3 linked regions of the Struthio camelus genome follow. The protein of the gene in region 1 purifies or fractionates together with the protein of each later gene. This does not show direct contact. Links are inferred from orthologs where the notes say so. Each region holds a gene or a part of one and is shown on either strand. Other genes may lie near its edges. The genes, in order: CTCF, TOP2A and RPL28.

Region 1 (7,600 bases):
TTCAGTTTGTAATTTTTACTTTCTTGAAAGAAACATCTTTGTTCTCTGGATGATGTTAGGTCCAATAAAAAGGGCCCTGGACTGGACCCTGTAAGTGATTTGTACTGCCATGGAGCCTTCGGTGATTTGGGGCAAATTACTTAACCTGTTTTTCTAGTTTCCCTATCTTGTTGTGTTCAGTTTGCAAAGCTGACTTCTTGTAACCACCTCTAACATCCAGGGATTTAAAATGAAAACAGGAAATGCTACTGTATTAAAATGGCCACTCTTTTGCATTCTGTACTGAAGTGTGATAATTCTGCACTTTGAAACAGTAGCTTTCAACTTCTTTTTGCTAAATTATTTGTAGTGGAGGTACAAATGTGAATATGAACTTTAGATTTACCCTCCCTATTTATTATGCGAGAACCTATTAGAGTCACTCAAGGAGTTTTCTGATTACAGGTTGTAAAAGGATCAGTTTTTTGAAGGTTGTAGTTTGAGTCTAAGTTTATCAGATCATTAAAACATTCTTTTTGGAGGATGAAAGAAGTTAGTGTTATTCAACGTTATAACTTACTGCCCTTATTGATCTCTGAAGAGAGATCTCAGTACTGCCCCAGGAAGCCATAATACTCAAAAGATACTCCTTGATTATTTGATCCTTCGCTACCTTCCATGTTAATGTTCTCCCCTCCTTCTTGCTCAGGAATGACTAATATTGACTTCTTTCTGCTCTGTTAGCTCTTTGAGCTACTAGAGCGTATATGAGCCCAGAGTAGTTTATTCTCGGCTGCCTTTTGTGTGTGTGGAAATAATTGTTTGTCCTCTTGAAGCAGTTGTGTTCTCTGCCTGCTCTACCAGTGTTTTGACCTATGTGAAAGAGAATTTGGCAGCTTCTGTGGAGGTGTGATGGAGCAAATATTCTGATGGCTGACTTGCCTGAGATGACGTTTGTAATGTTTTTGGATGCACCTGTCCCGAGTGGCTCATGCAAGCAAATCCTTGCAGAACATGTTTTCTTCTCCAACTCCCCTGGATTAAAAGAAGGGAGATAGCCTTGAATGTTTATCCTGCTGTGATATTAGTGAGATTCTCCTTCGTTAGAGGTACTTGATCCTGTGAAGTTGTTGGTCGGCATGATGTGTTACCGTTTGTTCTTGTCCCAGAGCTGCTTCTCCAAACAGGCTGCCTCTTGCTGACAGCTAAGGGGTCTTTTCAGCCACCCGCTGGCATTCAAGATGTAAGCTCTTGATGTGATTCTGGAGAAAAGAGCACACCTTAGTCCTTGGTTCTCCAAAGACAGATTTTTCTTTTTAATAATGTGGAATTACTGGTCATAGTCATTGGTTTTCTCCATGTCTAAACAAAGTGAGGTCACTAGTCAGTATTGCTTCTGCCTCTTCTATCTTAACTTCATATAGGAGCTCTTGTCTGATGCTGGTCTTTGGACAGCCCTTCTTTGACTTCATATCACACATGTTTTTGTATCTCATAAACAGTGATGTACTAAGCCTCTGCTCTTGTAATGCTGCTCTCTCACATTAAATGCCAGAAGGCTTATATTCATCTCTCTGAAAGTGTAGGTCACTAGGTAAATTGCCAAGGGTGACTGTCCTTATATACATTAACAACACACAGTAAAGAACTGATCATTGTTTGAGATCTTGCAAAAGTATTCCAGGTCCTCTAGAACTTGCTTGGGAGTAAGAAATCCCTCTGCCCCAAGAGCTTTGTAGGTATAATTGTATAAATGAAATCTGTTGCTCTGTGTTTGAATGTTAAGTATATCCTTAATTTTTTGTAAAGTCTCATGCCAGAGATCATAACATAATTTGGGTTGGGAGGGTCCTCTTGCGGTATTTTGGTTTCAGCCCCCAGTTCAAAGCAGGGCCAACTTTGAAATTGGATAAGGTTTTTAGGGTTGTATGTAGCAGCCTCTTTTTTTTTTTTTTTTTTTTTAAAACATCTGCAAGGTTGGAGTTCCTGCTCTAAGCAACCTGTTCCAATGTTTGACCACTCTCATTGTGGAAAAGTGTTTTTCCTAGTATCGAATCAGAATTTTCCTTGATGTAACTAGCCTGTTGCATCTTTTCCTTTCACTGTGTGTCTCCAAGAGTTTGGTTTCATCTTCTCCGTACCCTCTCTTTAGCTAGCTGAAGGCAGTAGTAAGAAATTCCCCTCAGCCTTCTCAAAGCTAACTATGCCAATTCACAACAAGTGCTCTAGCCCCCGTCATCTTGGTGGCCCTCTACTGGGCTCTGTCCAGTGTGTGTCAATGTCTGTCTTGTACTAAGGAACTCCAAAGTGGGCATGTGGAGCAATTTTATTTCCAACCTAGTGCTGTTTCATTCAGGCTTATCATACACGTGAAAAATCTGAATGGGAAAACTAAATTTAATGGGAGGTATTTTATGGGGAAAAAATCCTGGTTGCTGTAATGGAAGTAGGCTTACCTTTCAAATAAAGAAGAGTAAGAATGAGGTTCGCCCCCCCCCCCCCCCTCCTTGGATAGTACTATGGAGTAGGTGAAAGCAGGTATGACTTGCCCTTCTGAAACGTGTACCTTAATCTGAGGACCAAAGTTTCCCAGAAGTATAGCATATTAGTAATTTGAGGTTCTGAGAGTGGTGTCTGAGCTGCTTAGAGCAAACAATTCTCTTCAGAATTCCAGTGATGCATTTCCTTAAGGAGAATCGATACCTTGTGGAGAGAGAAGGATGATTGTGCTTTGCATCTACCATACAGTCAAAATGTGCAAACGTCCCTGTAAAATGCTGTTCCACGTTTGCGATATCTACAGTGTAGAAAATAACTACAATTACTATTGTTCAGTTATTCTTTTCTCCTACTTAAGAGGCTATGGTGGATACACCATTTATTCAAAATGGAGATCTCCCCACTGTTAAGTCATTTGCCAAGCTGAAGGTTTGGTTTTGAAAAAACTGAAGAAAAGATTTTTTTAATTGAATTTCAAGAAAAACAAAATTTAGGATGAAAGAATAACAATAGATGTAAGGATGCTTATATTGAATTAAATGTGTCCTATTTAAGAGTCCTGGCAATAAACCCAATGATGAAAATTTTAAGACAACACAGTTTATATAGGAGTTGGCAGCTTTTTCTCAAGTGTCTTCTGAATGTAGAAGTTGCTCACTATGAGCCTTTCCTGTGTTAATTTTCAAGTTTTTAAGTTTTAGGAAGTAGTCTTTTGCTGGGGTAAGGCTCAGGAATAAAAACTCAGCTAGTAATAGTAACTATTTTATATGCCTGTCACTGTGTGCAGGCTCTCATGAGCGCAGGACCTGGCAAGGATGCACTTCTTCATAGCATTTATACTGTGCCGATAGCAGTTGAGCTCCCTATGTATCCTCCAAGTGTCCCCTTTCCTGGTTGCTGAATGCATATAGCACATGTGATTTTATTGCATATATGTAGACTACAGAGAGATCAATTCCAAAAAATTTTTTTAATCCTATTACTTCACTAGTGCTCAGCATCCACAGCTCTACCAAGTTTGACATCTTTGCTGAACGATTAAATCTTTGCTGCTCTTTGAACAATTAAAAATAGATTTGTCGATGAAAAATTGCTGTCAGAACCAAGACTTAAGCACTTTGTAGTAAATAAAATTAAATAAATAAATGACAGAAGAACCAGGGAAAAAGTAGTATCTAAATTGAAAGGGCATAGAACCAGTATGAAATTCAACACTGTTTGGCCAGCTTTGCTGAGTGGAGCAAGAATACGTGCCTCGCTCCAGAATTAATCCTGTGGAGTTGCTTACTGTTCTCAGGATTTTTGGCATGTATGCACACTGAGGCCTGAGCAGGATTAATGATGAGAAATAATGGGCTGTTTTGTAAATAATTTAGTTCTGTAAATCTGCATATTTTAAGTCTTTGGTTGCTTACAGTAATGAAGTTAACTTAGCAATTCTTCAGTTAGCTGAGGTGGTTCCTCCTCACGGTAACAAAGTTAGAAGTGTGTTAGAGATGACTTTGTTACTTCATTGATAGTGTTATTACTTGCTACCTTGGCAGTATGTGACAGGTTGTACTTGCTCTAATTTACACTCCTTTGACAATAAAAATTGCTTCTTTATTGTGATTTGGTATTTCCCAGCATAGGAGGGAAATAGGCATAACCAGTTCTAAAAAGTCACGTTGCAGCCTTAATTTGACATTAAACATACAGAATTTCAGGTTCCGAGAACTATATGTGCTGAAGAGTCTGAGAAAAAAGTAGAGAGGAGTTTGTAACACCTGAGTTCACTCTTCCTGGTAAAAATCATGAAAGCGGATTTAAAATACTCATACAAGTTTTGGTTTTGTTTAAGGCTTATTTGATAAGTGAAGGAGCCCTCAAGCAATTACCATGCTACTCATCATAGAGCTGTAGAACTAGGCACTTTCGATTAAACGTTCAAACGTGTTTTTTCCCCCCTCTTTCCTTTCTTTTTGTATATAGTTTTACTAGTACTACTAACCTGTTTTGTTCCAGAGTGTGTGTTCTGACATCAAGAGCTGTATGAAGAATAGCCAGAATGAAGAGAACAAATCAGTCCAGGCAGAAGTGCAGAAGCTTCAGGAACGCAAATGTAAATTAAGGGGTTTCAAAGTGTGGTAAGCATTCCATGCTGAGGCAGTAGTTTCACAGACACTTAAGGCTAGCCCTGTGCTGGAAGAAGCTGTCCTGTCTTGCCGCTCCTTTGGCTGGCCTGAGCAGCCACACTGGAGAACTGGTCTGGATGGAAATAAGTATCTTTTGGCTGGGTGAGTTCTGGTCTGAATTAGTTTCCTGCAGTCTTAGACATGATTGTGCCAACATGAAAAATAGTTGGAGGGATGCAGGTGGGAACAAACGAGCAGTGCAAAGGCAGAGGATGGTTTCTTTGCCAGACTTAGGCTTTACTTTCAAACACACTGAACTAACTGCTGGTAGAAAGGCTTCCCCCCCCCCCCCCCAAGATGAGTGTCTTTGTGTAACTTTTGCTTCATAGATTTTGATGGTTGATTGTAATGGCACTCCTGCGGCTTGGTTGTAGAAGAATATTTGGAACATGAGTCCAAATGGATATGTGCATAAAATGGATTATACTACCTAAAACTGCAGCATGAGTGCTACTGTTCAGGATTGATGTGGGTTTGATTTTGTTTATTTCAGTTCCAGGGTTTATTAATTCAGATGAACTTCCCTAAGGTCTATGACTCAAGAGCAAGCATGACTTGCTTTAGGCTTGAGGAGTTTCTACCTTGTCCACCACCCTCCTCCCATAGGTGTTTCCAAAACTATCCTGGAATTTCCTGCCCCCGTTGCAAGGGCGGCAAACTCTATCTTTACAGTTGACATCCTGACATTAAGCCAACTGACACTGACTTTGGTTTCCCTTACCGCATCAATTTGTGGAGCGATTAGTAGTTACTGCATGAGCAGCTATGCTGTTCATACAGGAGCAGGAACCATGCTACCATCCCAGGGGTTAACGCTTCCTGCCCTGTGATTTGAAGCCTGAAATCCCTTGGAAAGGCAAAGTATCACTACTTAATAAGTGTCTATGTAAAGGTAAAAGGAATAGCTTTTCCCCAGCAGTTTATACTAGGGTATTTGTTCATCTAGATGAAGCCTTAGAGGAAAAAATTCCACATACTTTTACCCTGTTACAGAGTTTACAGAATGCCATGAAACTTGCTGCACTGACCTTTTTCCAAGTGTGGTAATATCTGGTGCCATTTTGACATCATGCATCAGTTGGCCAATGAATCCTACTATATCAGATTTATTTTGAAGATAGGGATGTTTTTATTTGCTTTTAAGTGTGCTAATGTTCTAAATGTAAGTCTGAGTTAACGTGCAAGGAAGAATGAGCACAAATTCTTGTTCATAAAACTATTAACCTTTTTCGAAATCTGTCTGCAATATTAGGCTTTGCCTCTTGCGGCAATGGCTTTCACAGGCCACATTTCCAGTGGTGGTCTGTGAGCTTCCTCCATCTCTCTTATATTATGGAGTACTATAAGAGGAAGGCTTTGAGCAAGTTTATGGTCTAGCTTTGACTATTAATCATCTGAAAATGAATTCTTCTCTGCCTGCTACTTTTAAAATTTAACGTGTAAAATATAGAAGGCTTTTAAAGTCCCATATTTGTCTTTCAGAAATGAACTGTAGGGTTAGGAAAACATTCTTAATACATTAAAAAGGGGAAAAAATCCTAGAAATAGGTGATATGGGAATGTTTAGCTCACATTTCCCCATTTTCATTGGAGAAGTGTGCGTATGACTGAAGAACTAATTTGGTCTAAGGAGACTGCAGTATCAGTTGTTGAAAGAAATAGAGTTTTCATGCTTATTCAGTTCCTCCTTAATTTCTCCTTCCTTCTCTGTCTACTTAACATTCTTATGTAACTTAGTTGTACATTTTTTTTATACGTCTTTTACATAACAGCTCAGATCTCTAAATCTTCAGGAAAAACAAGGAAAACTTAGTATTTCTGAAGCTAAAATATATTGAACTTCCAGAAATAAAAAATGCTGAAATGCTTCCATCAGACTGCTTTCTTTAAGGCTTGCCATTTGAAGTTAGGAGTTACAGCCCAAGGGACTTGAAAGTGTGAGATTTGTTATCAGTAACTGCAGCAGTTTTTAACAACACAGATCTCAAGCGATTCACCTTAATTGTATTATGTTTTCATGTCCATTACATGCTACTGCTTATTACAGCAGAATTACCCGTACCTTTTCTGGAAGGTCTGTGATTCTGGGGTCTCTTGCCACTGCTGGTTGAAAGGAATAAAAAAAGGCTTGTTCTACAAACTGCTGAGGAAAGACATGGAGTTAAAATTCCTCTGTCTTGCTTGTAGACCCAATATATACTCTAATTTCATGTCTTGCAAAGCCTTTCCTCTGTGTTCTTGGTCCAAATGAGCAGGTCAACTTTTTCTAAGTAATTGCAAAAAATAACTGGTTTGTGCTACTCTCTGACTGAAAAATGGGTATCAGTGTTGGCTGAAGTTTCTCATCACTTTATCTCATGAGGCATGGTGAATTCAATGTTTGAAAGAGAACTGGCAAGATCCCTGGGCAGGGGCAGCAGCTAGAGAGATTTTGTGTGTTAACGATCGTTTGGAGATGTCTTCTTGCAAAGTATAGGCATTTGAAGTGTCATTGGGATGCACTGGAATTCTGCTTCAACACCAAGGCAGTTGTGGGTAAGGAATGCCTTGAAGCCCGGGAGATGAATTGACTGTGTTCTTGGGGAGTTCATAATGAAGGGGAAGGGGTAAATAGATTTGGACGTGGTTCTGACCAGATTAATTTTGATAACACCTGGCCCAAAATGTAAGCATAAGTAACAGGTAACCTTGTTTCTCAATTAAAGACTAACTGAATAGCACAGTGTGTGTTTCTGATTACAATTAAGTTACATCTGTCTTAAACAGGAAGGTGACCACAGACGGGTGGGTACTGTGACCGAAAGGGTTGCATGATGCTTGAGTGAAATTGATTTCACTGAAGTGTGTCCTCTGTAGATGGTAGGATGGGACAATCTGGAGGATGGGACAATCTGAGGGGGCTCCAGCCCCCTCATCATCTCAATGTAGTCACTCAACTTTTTTGCAAA
Region 2 (7,372 bases), on another chromosome or scaffold:
GAAAACAGAATTAAAGAAAGTGTCCATACCTGCTTAAATAATTTTTTGTATTCACGACATGCAGTTTCTACAGTAAATTTTGTGCTAAATATGTTGCACAGTTTGGCTCCATAACCATTTCGACCACCTGGAATTGTAACGCAAACAGATCTATGTTGTTACATTTGTTCAAAACCATCTAAAAGAATTCCAGACTAACAAGAATTCAGTCCCTTCAGCACTGTCAAAGTACGACTCACCATGAATGACAATATCCTACAAACTTAGCACATGACTATATACCCATATTTAATGGGAATTAGTTTTCAAAGGGAATTCCTCCTGTTCTCCATGACTGTACCATTTTTATTATAAAATACAGCATGGAAACGTCCCTCTGATACACTCAGGGATTCCATTTTTATGCTGCATCAACATCACTTCTTTTTCTTAACAAGGAGAACAGCAAGGGACCAGTTAGTGTCACCTTTATTCAGAACAAGCAGTCTTGATGAAACCTGCTAGCTACTGCTCACTCACACTGGGTAATTCAGTTCACACATTTAAGCTGATCAGGCAGCACAAAAATATTAGCACTTAATTTAGAGACTTCCCTACCTGTGACTTTCTTTTCATCATCATCATAGTTGCTTGAGGTTAATAGCTGTCCAAAAATAAGAGCAGGCACATAGACCTTCTCCACTTTGTGTTCAACAACTGGAATACCTTTCCCATTGTTCCATACACTGATCGTGTTATTCTCTCTGGGGGAGAAGAGAGTGTGTCTTTAAGGCTGGAAATGACTGAGCTATGAAATAAATGCTATACAAAATCAATGGTAGAAGGCCACCGTTTCATCAAAAGTAAATTTATGTTCGGCAAGTGTAAAAACAGCCAGCAGAGGGAGGACAAGTCCAAAAAAAAAAAACCTTCAGCCTCAGATCTGCAGATACCATCTATAATATGAATAGTTACATACAAAAATAATCTGTGCTCAAGAACAGAATAAAAAATTTGAGAAGAAGGAAAGGAGAAAACGACCACAAGGCGGGGGGGGGGGGGGGGGGGGGGAAGTAAAAGCAATGATTTCACAAGCCAACGCTCTAAGAGAGCAAGAGACCTAAAGAAGATAAAGGCTTTTGTAATTGGTCAATAATGCTACACAAGTTGGCAGCTGTGGAGCTCCAGGAGTTACATTTGGTTCAACTTGAATGTGCCTCTGCAAAGAGCTCTCTATTGCCTAACACCAGCCTAACAGAACAGTATCTGAAGAAGAAAATCTAACATACGTGAACTGGGAAGACACTGAAAAAATGAAATAAAACTTACGGATCAATTGTAATTTTAATGCATGACATGTTTTTATCCCTCTGCTTGTTGTCTGCAGCATTGACTAGAATAGAAAGATTGTTATTTTTAGCATATTACACTTTCAATCAAGACAGAAAATATTAACTATAAAGTGCTTTCAGTAGAACGAATACAAAAATTGAAGACAAGATGCTACTAGTAATCATCTTGATAGGCAAAGATTTTGCAAGTTATAGAGATGAGCACTACAGGATAACATAAAAGGGAGAATCTGGGGCTGAATGGAATTGGCTTTATAATATATAGTGCCATCATCCCAAGAATGGCTTACACTTTAGTGGCACTAATGGAAATTAAGACCAGGCAGAACATTAGTATCCAACATTTTGAAGCACAGTCAACAAACGATATACTCTGTGAACACCATCCATCGGATTATGCAAAGGACATTACTTGGTCAACTGGAAAAAAGTACATTTGCCAAGTTCTTAATTTTAGTTCAAGGGTCTCTTACACCTTCAGCACCCAGAAATAACTTAAAAAAACAAACAAACTTGCTAATCACTAGTCCAATAGATATCCCACAGCTCACCTAGAATCTCATCAAAGATTTTGTACAAGCCAGGCACATAGGTCACATCTCTGCAGTTAAGGCCCACATCCTCATCAAAAACCCACATTTGCTGAAAAGAAAGTAAAAAAAACACATACATCCCCAAGTGTTTTTCAGGTTTCCCTCATGTTCCCTGCCATCAGGGTGTAAGGCAGAGGCACCCAGCACTGATTCCCACTTAGCTGGAGGGCCATGTTAACGCCCCCCCCCCCCCCCCCCCGGTGCTGGGTGCTGCTTAGCCCCGGGGTGCTCCCAGCCCCGGCGCACCTGGGTCACCAGCTCCACGGAGCCGATGTAGGTGTCGGGCCGGAGCAGGATGTGCTCCAGCTGCGTCTTCTTCTGGTAGATCCGCTCTACCGAGAGCCGCTTCTTGGCGCCGTCGCCCTTGGGCACCCGCGGGTTCTCGTCCAGGGGCTGCTCGGGGAGGGAGACAAGGGCCGTGAGGGGAGCGGGGACCGGCCACGGCGGCGGGAGGGGGCCGTGGAAGGGGAGAGGGGCGGCGGGGGACCCCGAGACGAGCCTGGCGGAGGATCCTGAGGGGCGACATGAGGAGATGGGGGGGGATCTGAGGGGAATTGGGGGGCCCCGGGGGGGGATCTGAGGGGAACTGGGGGGCAACCTGAGGGGAATTGGGGGTCACCGGGGGGGGAGATCTGACGGGGTCCGAGGGGCCCCGGGGGGGGGATCTGAGGGGAATTGGGGGGCCCCGGGGGGGGGATCTGAGGGGCCCCGGGGGCGGATCTGAAGGGAACTAGGGGGAGATCTGACGGGATCCGAGGGGCCCCGGGGGGGGGATCTGAGGGGAATTGGGGGGCCCCGGGGGGGGATCTGAGGGGCCCCGGGGGCGGATCTGAAGAGAACTAGGGGGAGATCTGACGGGATCCGAGGGGCCCCGGGGGGGGATCTGAGGGGAATTGGGGGGATCTGATGGGGTTTGAGGGGCCCCGGGGGGGAATCTGAGGGGATGGGAGATCCCGCAGCCCTGAGAGGACGGCGGCCGCACGCACTCGGAGGGGCGACGGGGACTCCTCGAGTTCCATGGCGGCGGCAGCGCTGAGAGGCGGCGATGGCGGCCCGCTAACCGCTCCGGGCGCGTTTCAAACCTCCGCTCAGCCCGCCGAAACCGGCCCGCCAATCGCAGGGCGAAGGCGGGGACACAGGCCCCGCCCGCCCACCTCCCCTAGCCAGTCACAACGCTCCCCGCTCTTTCAAACCAGCCACTCCGGCCGGGGGGAAGGCGGGAGCCGTTCAAATCTCGCCACTCACAAGGGACATCTGGATGACGGGCACTAATCTCGGCCAATAGAGAAGCAAGGGAGGGAGGTGGCGGCGAGGCTGCGTCCCTAGGGCACGCCGGCGGGGTCGCGGTTGCCTGGGTGACGGGGCCCAGCTACGGGGCTTCCCCGGCCAGCCCTGCTGGGGTGGTGCCTGGGGGCACTGGGCAGGCTCTGGGGACACACTGGGACACAGTGGGACACACTGGGACACAGGGGGCAGGCCCTGGGGACACACAGGGACACACTGGGTAGGTCATAGGGACACAGTGGGACACAGTGAGACCCAGTGGGCAGGTCGTGGGGACACTGGGACACTCTGGGACCCAGTGGGCAGGTCAAGGAGGCACACTGGGCACACTGGGACACACTGGGACACAGTGGGCAGGCCCTTGGGGACAGCTGGGCAGGTCATGGGGACACAGTGACACATTGGGCAGGTCAGGGGGACATAGTGACATATTGGGCAGGCCTTGGAGACCCACCGGGAGAGGTCCTGGGGACACAGTGGGGACATAGTGACACACTGGGCAGACCCTAGGGACACACTGGGACATACTGGGCAGGCCTTGGGGACATGCTGGGACACAGACCCTTGGAGGAGGTCCCTCTATATGTGTGTGTATATATATATTGGGGGGGACCCAAATATATATATATACATATATATTTTTTTAACATATGTGTATATATATGTGTGTGTGTGTACAAACACGCCCCCGACATGTCTCGCAAACAAGCCCAGAGCCCAGCTGCTTTCCAGGCTGTGACGCTCCGCTTCGGCCGAACGGGAAAGCACGTCCCGCTCCGTGCCCGGGGTGGGGTAGGGGGGCACCATCCCAAACACCGACCCTCCCATTCATTTATTTAAAGTTTATTTCCGGGGGGAGGGTGGGATGGCAGCATCGGCTGCGCCGTGGGGTCCGGGATGCAGATGGACACGCGGGGCAGGGCGGGGGGACCAGCGGGGATGCGCAGGGGACGAGGAGCGAGGGTTCGGGGAGGGTGGGAAGGGGGGATGGCCGAGCACCCCGCGGCGGCCATCCCGGCGGCAGCGCGGAGCCTCCGGCGGGGCCTCGGCCGGCTCCTCGCTCACCACATGTGCCGGTAGGGGAAGGCCACCTCCACGCACAGCACGGCCAGGACTTCGGAGCAGTTGTAGCGCTGCCCAGCCAGCAGCTCGCCCCGACCCAGGGGGGCCGCCAGCCCCTGGGCCGAGCCGGAGCGCCGCCAACCGTAGCAGTGCCGGCCGCGAGCCGAGCCGCCGCGAGGGTCGGAGCCATGCCAGGCCAGCCGATGGGGCCTGCGGACACAGCACCGTCTCCTCACGGCCGGCCCCGGCACGCGCCGGCCTGGCGGAGGATGGTGGTGGGGGTGGGGGTGGAGGAGGACACCTTTGAGGGGACCCGCTGTGCCGGCCCCGTGGAGGGTGGTGGGGGTGGTGGTGGTGGTGATGGTGGTGGGGATGGAGGAGGACACCTTTGGGGGACCTGCTGTGCTGGCCCCGTGGAGGATGGTGGTGGTGGTGGTGGTGGTGGTGGTGATGGTGGTGGGGATGGAGGAGGACACCTTTGGGGGACCTGCTGCACCAGACCCGTGGAGGGTGGTGGTGGTGGTGGTGGGGATGGAGGAGGACACCTTTGGGGGACCTGCTGCACCAGACCCATGGAGGGTGGTGGTGGTGGTGGTGATGGTGGTGGGGATGGAGGAGGACACCTTTGGGGGACCTGCTGCACCAGACCCGTGGAGGGTGGTGGTAGTGGTGGTGGTGGTGGTGGTGGTGGAGGTGAAGGAGGACACCTTTGGGGGACCCGCCGTGCCAGCCCCGCTCACCACAGGGGATGGCTGAGGACGTCACGTCCGTCGAAGGTGTAGATGGGGACGCGCCGAGTGGCGCCGGCCTGGCCCTCAAAGAGGGAGCTCCAGCTCTTGGCCAGCAGCTGCCCCTGCAAGCGCGAGCGGCGGTGGTGGCGGGGTGGCGTTTCGGACAAGGACGGTGCCCAGTGCCCGGCGGATGCCGCCTCAGCCCGTCGCCCCCGGCCGGGGCGGCAGCTGGGGCGCGGGGCTACCTGCCTTGAGGTTGACGACGGGCAGCGTCCTGTCCGTCCGCTTGACGATGGAGACCAGGTCCTGGGTGGGGGCCGAGAGGAACGCCCGGAAGGTGCCGTAGAGCCGGGCCTCCTGGGACTGCCGGTAGCACTGCAGGTCGGCGCCCCGGATGCCGCTCATGTCCCCGGAGAGGGGCGCGTTCAAGGCTGCCAGACGGAGCTGGGGAGGCCGGGCACCGCCTGAGCCGGCGGCCCCCGGCGCCCGTCCTGCTCCCTCGCCCGGCTGCCGGGTCTCTGCTCCTCCGCCCCGAGCGCTTGACCCTCCGGCTGCCCCGGCGGTGGGATTCCCCCCCGCCCCGGCACCAAGCCCTGCCTTTCCCGGCAGGACACGGAGGGCATTTCCCAGCAGGACGCAGAGGGTTTTCCCTGGACAGAAAGCGTTGCCTTTCCCGGCAGGACACGGAGGGACCCCGGGGCACCTCTCCCACCTCTCCTGCAGCTGGGCGACCCGGCGCCAGCTCCCGGGGGGCCGGGAAGGGGCCGGGAAGCGGGACAGCTCTTACCGAAGGGACCCTGGGGGCCACGGCGGTCGGCAGCATCCCGGGCGTCCCCGGTCCCTCCTCCTTGTGGGCCTGGGGGAAGGTGGGTCACGTCGGTCTCCGGCTCAGCCATGCCGGGCACAGAGCCACGCTGCCCTGCCGGAGTCCCCCCGCCTGCTGCGGCGCCCCGGCTGCCGGCTCGGCGGGCGCCCGGCCAGCGCTCCGGGGAGGGACGCTTGTCCCTGCGGCGCGGCGCTCACCTGCGAGGCCGCCGGCGCCACGGCGGGCGGCTCCGTGTCGGGACCTTTCGCCTGCAGCTGCTTCGCCTCCCGGGCGGAGAGGAGCGAGCGCGGGGCTGGCGCGTCCGCGGAGGACGCCGTGCCCCCGACCCGCTCGCCGCCCGCAGCCCTCACCTGGGGGCCGGGGGGAGACGCAGAGGGGTCGTCGCCGGCGAAGAGCGCCTCCGAATCCTCCAGCTGCTCAAAGCGAGAAGCCGAGGGGCTGGTCAGAGGGGAAGCCGCTGCCTTCGCCGGGCTGCTCCGGGGCCAAATCCAGAGGCGGCTGCTGGGGCTGGAGCCCGGCGCCCTTCGGGTACCCGCTCAGTACCAGGAGTCTGCTCCAGCCCCGCGGCGTCCGCAGGAAGGCGCTGCTCCCTTGGCGCACGTAGACCAGGCTGCCCTCGGGCACGGCCGAGCCCGCCTTCAGCATCAGCTCCTTGGACCCGAACACCCACGTCTGGCGCTGAGCGAGGGCGGGGGGGGTGCAGAGGTGCATGAGCCGGCGCCTGGGCGCGGGGCGGCCCCGTCCCTCGCCCCCGCCTCGAGGGCACTGGGACGCACCCGGAGGTCCGCGCCGCGGGGGTCCGGCGGCTCCGTCCGAGAGGCGTCAGCGTCTGGAGGGGCCGGAGAGGGGCCGGGGTCAGCGCGCAGCCCGGCACGCCGGCGGGGGGGGGGTCCGGCGCTGCCCGCCCCACGGCCCTGCTTCCGAGGAGGCCGGAGCCCACCCAAAACGCCCGGGAAATGCCCTTACCCGCTGGCCAGGCTGCGGCGGCGGCTGCCTGCAAAAGCCGACGGGGTTTGTTACTGCAGCGCCGGGCATGCGGCCCCCCCTTCCCCGCGCAGCGCCCGGCCCGGCGGTCCCGGTGCACGGAGGGGGATGCACGAGCGGCAGTCCCGGTGCACGGAGGGGGATGCACAAGCAGTGATCCCGGTGCACGGAGGGGGATGCACGAGCAGTGATCCCGGTGCACGGAGGGGGATGCACGAGCGGCAGTCCCAGTGCACGGAGGGGGATGCACGAGCAGTGATCCCGGTGCACGGAGGGGGATGCATGAGCAGTGATCCCGGTGCACGGAGGGGGATGCACGAGCAGTGATCCCGGTGCACGGAGGGGGATGCATGAGCCGGCGGTCCCGGTGCACGGAGGGGGATGCACGAGCGGCAGTCCCGGTGCACGGAGGGGGATGCACGAGCAGTGATCCCGGTGCACGGAGGGGGATGCACGAGCCTCGTGGGGCCGGGGCCGAGACGGGTGGCGGGGCCGGGCCGGGGCCCCTTGGCCCAGCAGAGGGGCGCCAGGCCCAGGGGCGGGCGGCGGGCAGGGACGCAA
Region 3 (7,865 bases), on another chromosome or scaffold:
TCCCAAGGGGGGGTCCCCGTGGTGCCGTGGGGGGGTTTCACCTTTCTCCGACTCGGGGGGCAGCTGGACGAAGCTCCTGCAGACCTCGCCTGGGCACAGAGCGAGAGCGGGGTGGCATGGCCGCGGGGCACCCGGGGCCCCGCAGGGCACCTAGAGGTGCCACAGAGCACCCAAGGGCCCCCACAGGGCACCCAGGGGTCCCACAGAGCACCCAGGGCCCTGCAGGGCAGCCCAGGGGTCCTCACAGGGCACCCAGGGGCTCTGGAGAGCACCCAGGGGTCCCCCAAATGGCGACCAAGGTTCTCGTAGGGCACCCAGGGGTCCCCACAGGGCAGCAAGGAGTCTCATAGGGCACCCGGGGGTCCTCACAGGGCAGCCCAGGGCTCTTGCAGGGCACCCAGGGGTCCCACAGGGCAGCCCAGGGGTCTCGTAGGGCACCCGAGGGTCCTCACAGGGCAGCGAGGGGTCTCTTAGGGCACCCGGGGGTCCCCACAGGGCAGCGAGGGGGTCTCGTAGGGCACACGGGGATCCCCAAATGGCAGCAAGGGGTCTTGTAGGGCACCCAGGGGTCCCACAGGGCAGCCCAGGGGTCCCCAAATGGCAGCGAGGGGTCTCGTAGGGCACCCAGGGGTCCCGCAGGGCGGCCCAGGGGTCCCCAAACGGCAGTGAGGGGTCTCGTAGGGCACCCAGGGGTCCCCAAATGGCAGCGAGGGGTCTCGTAGGGCACCCAGGGGTCCCGCAGGGCAGCCCAGGGGTCTCGTAGGGCACCCGGGGGTCCCCAAACGGCAGCGAGGGGTCTCGTAGGGCACCCAGGGGTCCCGCAGGGCGGCCCAGGGGTCTCGTAGGGCACCCGGGGGTCCCCGGGGGCGGGCGGGGGGGCCCTACCGTCAGGGTGCTCCTCGCAGGAGAGCCAGAAGCCGGCGTGGAAGTAGCGGAAGACGAACTTGTCGTCGCCGCTCTCCCAGGCGCCGGGGGCGGCGCGGGGGTCCCCAGAGGCGGCGCGGGGGTCCCCGGGGGCGGCGCGGGCTCCGGCGCAGGCCCCGCGCCGCGTCCCCCGCGGGCACGCCGCCTTGGCCACCCTGTGCCGGCCCTGGCACCAGTAGCTGGTGCCGAGCGCCAGCAGCGCCAGCCCCAGCGCCAGGGCCGCCAGCCCCAGCGCCAGGGCCGCGCGCCGGCGGCCCCCCGCGCCCCCCGGCGCCATGCCCCTCGCCGTCCTCCCTTCTCCTCCTCCTCCTCCTCGTCCCCGCTGCTGCTCTCCCGCTCCCCCCGCCCCCCCCGGCCGCGCGGGGCTTAATCCTGCCCGCGACGCTGCCGGCGGGGGGGAAGCAGGGAGGAAAAGCGGCTGCAAGGATCCCCCGGGGCGTCGCGGGGGGACGCGGGCTCGGCCCGGACGCCGGGGCTCCCCCCGCCCGCAGCGCCAGGGCTGGGGGGGCCGGAGCAGGGACGCTCGGGACCCCCGCCGGCGGCTCCCCGCACGCCTGGGTCCCTGCGTTGGGGTGGGGGGAGGCGGGGGGGATTAGGGTCCAGCTGGTGCCTCCGGGAGCTGCTTCGCCTCCGGGGCCGGAGCCGCGGCCAGGGAATTACAGCCCTGCTGGAGCCCGGCCAGGGCCCGGACGCCTGGGCCCCCATCTGGCTCCGCAGCGAGGACCCGGACGCCTGGGCCCCCGCCCGGCTCGGGAGCGAGCGCCCGGACGCCTGGGCCCCCATCTGGCTCTGCAGCGAGCGCCCGGACGCCTGGGCCCCTGCCCGGCTCGGGAGCGAGGACCCAGACGCCTGGGCTCCCGCTCGGCTCGGGAGTGAGCGCCCGGACGCCTGGGCCCCCATCTGGCTCGGGAGCGAGGACCCAGACGCCTGGGCCCCCATCTGGCTTCGCAGCGAGGACCCGGACGCCTGGGCCCCCGCCCGGCTCGGGAGCGAGCGCCCGGACGCCTGGGCCCCCATCTGGCTCGGGAGCGAGCGCCCGGACGCCTGGGCCCCCATCTGGCTCGGGAGCGAGCGCCCGGACGCCTGGGCCCCCATCTGGCTCGGTGGCAGCAAGCACCCGGACGCCTGGGCCCCCGTCTGGCTCCATAGTGAGCGCCCGGACGCCTGGGCCCCCACCCAGCTCGGTGGCAGCGAGGGCCCGGACGCCTGGGCCCCTGTCTGGCTCGGGAGTGAGGGCCCGGACGCCTGGGCCCCCACCCAGCTCGGTGGCAGCGAGGGCCCGGACGCCTGGGTCCCCGCCCGGCTCGGGAGTGAGGGCCCGGATGCCTGGCCCCCCCCCCCCCTCAAATTGGTTCCCCTGGGGCATTGTGGGAGCCGGAGCAGAGGCAGCGCTCGGGGCGGTGGAAAGAGCCATCGAGCGACCCACATTCCCCACGCGGTTAACTGCGCCTGCTAATTAGCAGGAACGGGGAAGGGTCTAGGGGGCTGAGGGGGGGCTCTGGGGGGCTGAGGGGGGCTCCAGGGGGCTAAGGGGGGCGCCTGGGGGCTCTGGGGGGCTGAGGGGGGCTAAGGGGGGCTATGGGGAGCTCCGGGGGGCTGAGGGGGGCTCCTGGGGGCTCTGGGGGTCTGAGGGGGGCTCCGGGGGGCTGAGGACCAGCTCCAGCCCAGGGCAGGATTCGGGGGGGGGCCCCGATCGCTCGCCCACCTAACGAGCCCCGGCCGCATCCGAGCCCCCACCCCGACCCCCCATTTCGGCAGGGACCCTCCGGGAGGGAGGGAGGAGACCACCCCGGACACCCCCAGTCCCCCCCCCGCCGCCGTCTCCCGCGCCCCCCCAGCACCTACCGGCAGGGTGGCGGGTCCCGAGCCGGTCACGGCGGCGGCGGCGGTGGGGGGGGGTCCTGGGTGCTCGAGGAAGGTGAGGAGGCGGGGGGGCGCTCGAGGGGGTCCGGCGGGGCGCGGGGGGAGGACCCCCGCCCCGGCGCGGCCTCAGGGCAGGGCCCGGCGGGCTGCGGCGGCCCCCAGGGCGAGGGCCCCCCCCAGGAGCGGCGGGCAGGGGGCGGCCGAGGCGGGGGCGGCCGAGGCGGGGGCCAGGCGGCAGGGCGGCGGCGGCGGCTCCGGGGTCCAGGCGGGATCTGTGGGGAGAAGAGCCGGGGTGGGTGGGTGGGTGGGGGGCGCACGGAGCGCGGGGGGGGGGGGCTCGGCTCACCCCGGGGGTCCCGCAGGCGGGCGCGCAGCCGGCCCAGGGCCTGGCTCAGGTTGGAGACGGCGCCCTGCAGCCGGGCGTTCTCGCCCCGCAGCGCCCGCAGCGCCTCCTGCAGCTCGAAGGGGGCCCCCCCGGCCCCCAGCAGGGCCAGCAGGGCCAGCGCGCCCCACGGCCCCATGGCCACTGCGCCCCACGGCGCCTCCCAGGGCCCCACGCCCCCCCCCGCCCCTCCCAGTCCCGTCCCCCCCCCCCCCCGCCAGCCCTATCGATCCCCCCTGTCGGCTGCTTCCTCTCCCCCATCGATAACAGCCCGAGGCAGCGAGCGGCGGAGGGACCCACCCCCTGCCCCACGGCCCCCCTCCTGCCCCACAGCCCCCCTCCTGCCCCATGGCCTCCTGCCCCACGGCCCCCTTCCTGCCCCACAGCCCCCCTCCTGCCCCACAGCCCCCCTCCTGCCCCACGGCCCCCCTCCTGCCCCATGGCCTCCTGCCCCACGGCCCCCTTCCTGCCCCACAGCCCCCCTCCTGCCCCACAGCCCCCCTCCTGCCCCACGGCCCCTTCCCCTGCCCCATGGCCTCCTGCCCCACGGCCCCTTCCCCTGCCCCATGGCCTCCTGCCCCACGGCCCCCCTCCTGCCCCATGGCCTCCTGCCCCACGGCCCCCCTCCTGCCCCACACCCCTCCTCCTGCCCCACGGCCCCCCTCCTGCCCCACGGCCCCTTCCCCTGCCCCACAGCCCCCCTCCTGCCCCATGGCCTCCTGCCCCACAGCCCCTTCCCCTGCCCCACAGCCCCCCTCCTGCCCCATGGCCTCCTGCCCCATGGCCTCCTGCCCCACAGCCCCCCTCCTGCTCCACGGCCCCCCTCCTGCCCCATGGCCTCCTGCCCCACGGCCCCCCTCCTGCCCCATGGCCTCCTGCCCCACAGCCCCCTCCTGCCCCACATCCCCCCTCCTGCCCCACAGCCCCCCTCCTGCCCCACGGCCCCTTCCCCTGCCCCACGGCCCCCCTCCTGCCCCACGGCCCCCCTTCTGCCCCACAGCCCCCCTCCTGCCCCATGGCCTCCTGCCCCACGGCCCCTTCCCCTGCCCCACAGCCCCCTCCTGCCCCACGGCCCCTTCCCCTGCCCCATGGCCCCCCCTCCTGCCCCACGGGCCCACATCCCCCCTCCTGCCCCACAGCCTCCTGCTGCTCCACGTCCCCCTCCTGCCCCACGGCCCCCCCTCCTGCCCCATGGCCCCTCCTGCCCCTCCTCAGACTGGGGGGATGCAGCCGCCCCGCAGCCAGCACTGAGGGGCCGCGAAGGGTGGTGACAGATCCGGGCTCCCCACGGCTCCCGGGGGGCCCCGGCGGCCCCCAACGGCCGCCAACGGCCGCCCACGCGCCCCCAACGGCCCCCAACGGCCCCGGCGCCTCGCGCGGGAGGCGCGAAAACCACCCGGCGGGCAGGCGGCCGCCGAAGCCCCGCCCACTCCGCCGGGAGCCTCCGAGCGGAGCCGAAGGGGCCCGAGCGGTGACGGAGATGGCCGAGAGGAGCCGAAGGGGCCCGAGCGGTGACGGAGACGGCCGAGCGGTGACGGAGATGGCCGAGCGGTGACGGAGGTAGCCGAGCGGTGACGGAGATGGCCGAGAGGAGCCGAAGGGGCCCGAGCGGTGACGGAGACGGCCGAGGGGTGACGGAGGCGGCCGAGCGCGGGAGGCGGGCGGGGGGCGGGGCTCGCCGGGCAGGGGGCGGGGCTCGCCGGGCGGTGGGCGGGGCTCGCCGGGCGCAGGCGGGTTCCGGCGCCCGCGCGCGTTCCTTCCGTTTCCGGCGGCGGCAGCGAGCGGAGGTAGCGCGCGTGGCTGCGGCCCGGCCGGGCCCGGGTGGGGGGGGGATCGGGGCCTGGGGGGGCAACTGGGGGGGGGTCGGGGCCTGGGGGGGATTTGGAGAGGGATCGGGGCCTAGAGGGGAATTTGGGGGGGGATCGGGGCCCAGAGGGGGGGTCTGGGGGGAGATCAGGGCCCGGGGGGGGGTCTAGGGGGGGATCGGGGCCTGGGGGGGGATCTGGGGGGAGATCAGGGGCCGGGGGGGGTCTAGGGGGGGATCGGGGCCCAGAGGGGGGATCTGGGGGGAGATCAGGGCCCGGGGGGGGGTCTAGGGGGGGATCGGGGCCTGGGGGGGGATCTGGGGGGGATTCGGGCCGGGGGGGGGATCTGGGGGGTAAATTGAGGGGGGGATCGGGGCCTGGGAGGGGATCTGGGGGGTAAATTGTAGGGGGGATCGGGGCCCGGGGGGGATTTAGGGGGGGATCAGGGCCCAGAGGGGGATTTGGGGAGGGATCGGGGCCTGGGGGGGGCAACTAGGGGGGGGATCAGGACCTGGGGGGCATTTGGAGAGGAATCAGCACCTAGAGGAGAATTTGAGGGGGAGAACGGGGCCCGGGGGAGATCTAGGGGGGAGGATTGAGGCCCAGAGGGGGAGCTGGGGGGGGGATCGGGGCCTGGGAGAGGAGATCGGGGCCTGGGGGGCAGCTCTATGGGGGGATCGGAGCCTGGAGGGGATCCAGGGGGTAGATTGGGGGGGGGATCGGGGCTTGGGAGGGGAACTGGAGGGAATTGGGGCTTGGGAGGGGGAGCTGGGGGGGGATTGGGGCCTGGGGGGGGATCAGGGCCTGGGGGGGAGATCGGAGCCTGGGGGGGATCTGGGGAGGGGTCGGGACTTGGGAGGGGAATTGGGGGTAGATTGGGGCCCAGAGAGGGGGCTCTGGGGGGGGATCGGGGCCTGAGGGGGATCTGGGGGGGGGATCAGGGCCTGGGGGGGATTTGGGGAGGGGTTGGGACTTGGGAGGGGAATTGGGGGTAGATTGGGGCCCAGAGAGGGGGCTCTGGGGGGGATCGGGGCCTGAGGGGGATCTGGGGGGGGGATCAGGGCCTGGGGGGGGTTTGGGGAGGGGTTGGGACTTGGGAGGGGAATTGGGGGTAGATTGGGGCCCAGAGAAGGGGCTCTGGGGGGGGATCGGGGCCTGAGGGGGATCTGGGTGGGGGGAATCGGGGTCTGGGAGGGTAGATTGGGACCTATGGGGGACCTGGGGGGGGATCAGGGCCTGGGGGGGGTTTGGGGAGGGGTTGGGACTTGGGAGGGGAATTGGGGGTAGATTGGGGCCCAGAGAGGGGGCTCTGGGGGGGGATCGGGGCCTGAGGGGGATTGGGGAGGGGGGGGATCAGGGTCTGGGAGGGTAGATTGGGGCCCAGAGAGGGGGCTCTGGGGGGGGATCGGGGCCTGAGGGGGGTCTGGGTGGGGGGCATCAGGGTCTGGGAGGGTAGATTGGGACCTAGAGGGGGGGCTCTGGTGGGGGGATCAGGGCCTGGGGGGGAGATCGGGGTCCGGGGTGGGGATCAGGGCCTGGGGGGGGCTCCGGGGGGGCTGGGGGGGGATCCGGGCCGGGGGCTGAGGGGGCTCTCGCTGCCCCCAGGCGCCATGTCGTCCCACCTGCAGTGGATGATCGTGCGCAACTGCTCCAGCTTCCTCATCAAGAGGAACAACCAGACCTACAGCACCGTGAGTGGGGGGGGCGCGGGGGGGGCCCGGCTGTGTCCCCCCTCCCCCCGGTGGGGGATGGACCCGGGAGCCCCCCCCCCCCCCAAACAATGGCTGAGCCCGGAGGGGAGGGGCCCAGGCGTCCGGGCCCCCCCACAGTGACCTAGATGGGCTGCAAGGGGGCCCAGGTGTCTGCCCCCCCCCCCCAATGATCCAGATGGGATAGGGTAGGGCCCAGGCGTCCGGCCCCCCCCCAATATGATGGCCTAGATGGGGTGGACGGGGAAGGCCCAGGCATCCGGCCCCCCTCCCATAGTGACCCAGACGGGACGAGCGGACCCAGGCGTCCGGCCCCCCCCCCCCCCCCCCCATAGTGACCCAGACGGGACGAGCGGACCCAGGCGTCCGGCCCCCCCCCCCCCCATAGTGACCCAGACGGGACGAGCGGACCCAGGCGTCCGGCCCCCCCCCCATAGTGACCCAGATGGGACAGGATGAGGGGACCCAGGTGTCCGGGCCCCCCCCCAGCGTGTCCCCCCCCCCGCAGGAGCCGAACAACCTCAAGGCGCGCAACTCCTTCCGCTACAACGGCCTCGTCCACCGCAAGACGGTCGGGGTGGAGCCGGCGGCCGACGGCAAAGGCGTCGTGGTGGTGCTCAAGAAGCGGGCAGGTGGGCCCCGTCCCCGCGACCCCCCCCCAAAAAAACCACACGCCGCAGCCCCCCCCGCGCCGGCCCTGACCGCTCTGTGCCTGTCCCCCCCCCCGCCAGGGCAGCGCAAACCGGCCACCTCCTACGACCGCATCACCGTCAACAAGAACGCCCGGGCCACGCTCAGCAGCCTGCGCCACATCATCCGCAAGAACAAGTACCGCAAGGACCTGCGCATGGTGAGCGCCCGGACGCCTGGGCCCCTCGCCGGGGGGCGCTCGGCTCGTGGGGGGGGGGCCACGGAGCCGCGGGGGAACCGGGTCCTTGCGCTGAGCAGGATTTGGAGGGTGGGGGGGGGTGGTGGCATGGGGCTCAGCCCCACGAGGAGGGGGGGGGGTCCCGTCCCCGTGTGTCGTTCCCCCCCCCCCGCCCCGCGCTGACCGTGTCCCCCCCCCACCCCGCGGTGTCCCCAGGCCGCCCTGCGCCGCGCCAGCGCCATCCTGCGCAGCCAGAAGCCGGTGGTGGTGAAGAAGAAGCGGGTTCGCGCCGCCAAGGCCCCCTGAGCGCAATA

What was found.
Region 2: the proteins of CTCF (region 1) and TOP2A purify together in Homo sapiens (affinity purification with mass spectrometry; 3 studies listed by BioGRID and IntAct, with this or other methods). This does not show direct contact. The link is inferred for Struthio camelus from reciprocal best matches to the Homo sapiens genes CTCF and TOP2A.
Region 3: the proteins of CTCF (region 1) and RPL28 purify together in Homo sapiens (affinity purification with mass spectrometry; 3 studies listed by BioGRID and IntAct, with this or other methods). This does not show direct contact. The link is inferred for Struthio camelus from reciprocal best matches to the Homo sapiens genes CTCF and RPL28.

What each region holds. Positions count from the first base shown.
Region 1 is NC_090951.1:26,295,396-26,302,995, forward strand, and holds the start of CTCF (transcriptional repressor CTCF), read left to right. Parts: upstream 1-4,510; 5' UTR 4,511-4,525; coding exon 4,526-4,579; intron 4,580-7,600.
Region 2 is NC_090966.1:6,951,013-6,958,384, forward strand, and holds the start of TOP2A (DNA topoisomerase 2-alpha), read right to left. Parts: upstream 3,045-7,372; 5' UTR 2,944-3,044; coding exon 2,911-2,943; intron 2,318-2,910; coding exon 2,171-2,317; intron 1,974-2,170; coding exon 1,883-1,973; intron 1,373-1,882; coding exon 1,309-1,372; intron 744-1,308; coding exon 598-743; intron 128-597; coding exon 30-127; intron 1-29. Other genes in the region: collagen alpha-1(XVIII) chain-like, read right to left, coding at 4,270-4,480, 5,011-5,123, 5,251-5,445, 5,789-5,857, 6,025-6,090, 6,178-6,240, 6,371-6,505, 6,604-6,656 and 1 more. UniProt on the Homo sapiens protein: Key decatenating enzyme that alters DNA topology by binding to two double-stranded DNA molecules, generating a double-stranded break in one of the strands, passing the intact strand through the broken strand, and religating the broken strand.
Region 3 is NW_027182594.1:51,639-59,503, forward strand, and holds the start of RPL28 (large ribosomal subunit protein eL28), read left to right. Parts: upstream 1-4,852; 5' UTR 4,853-4,956; intron 4,957-6,579; 5' UTR 6,580-6,584; coding exon 6,585-6,665; intron 6,666-7,191; coding exon 7,192-7,315; intron 7,316-7,414; coding exon 7,415-7,533; intron 7,534-7,767; coding exon 7,768-7,857; 3' UTR 7,858-7,865. Other genes in the region: germ cell-specific gene 1-like protein, read right to left, coding at 42-89, 886-1,201.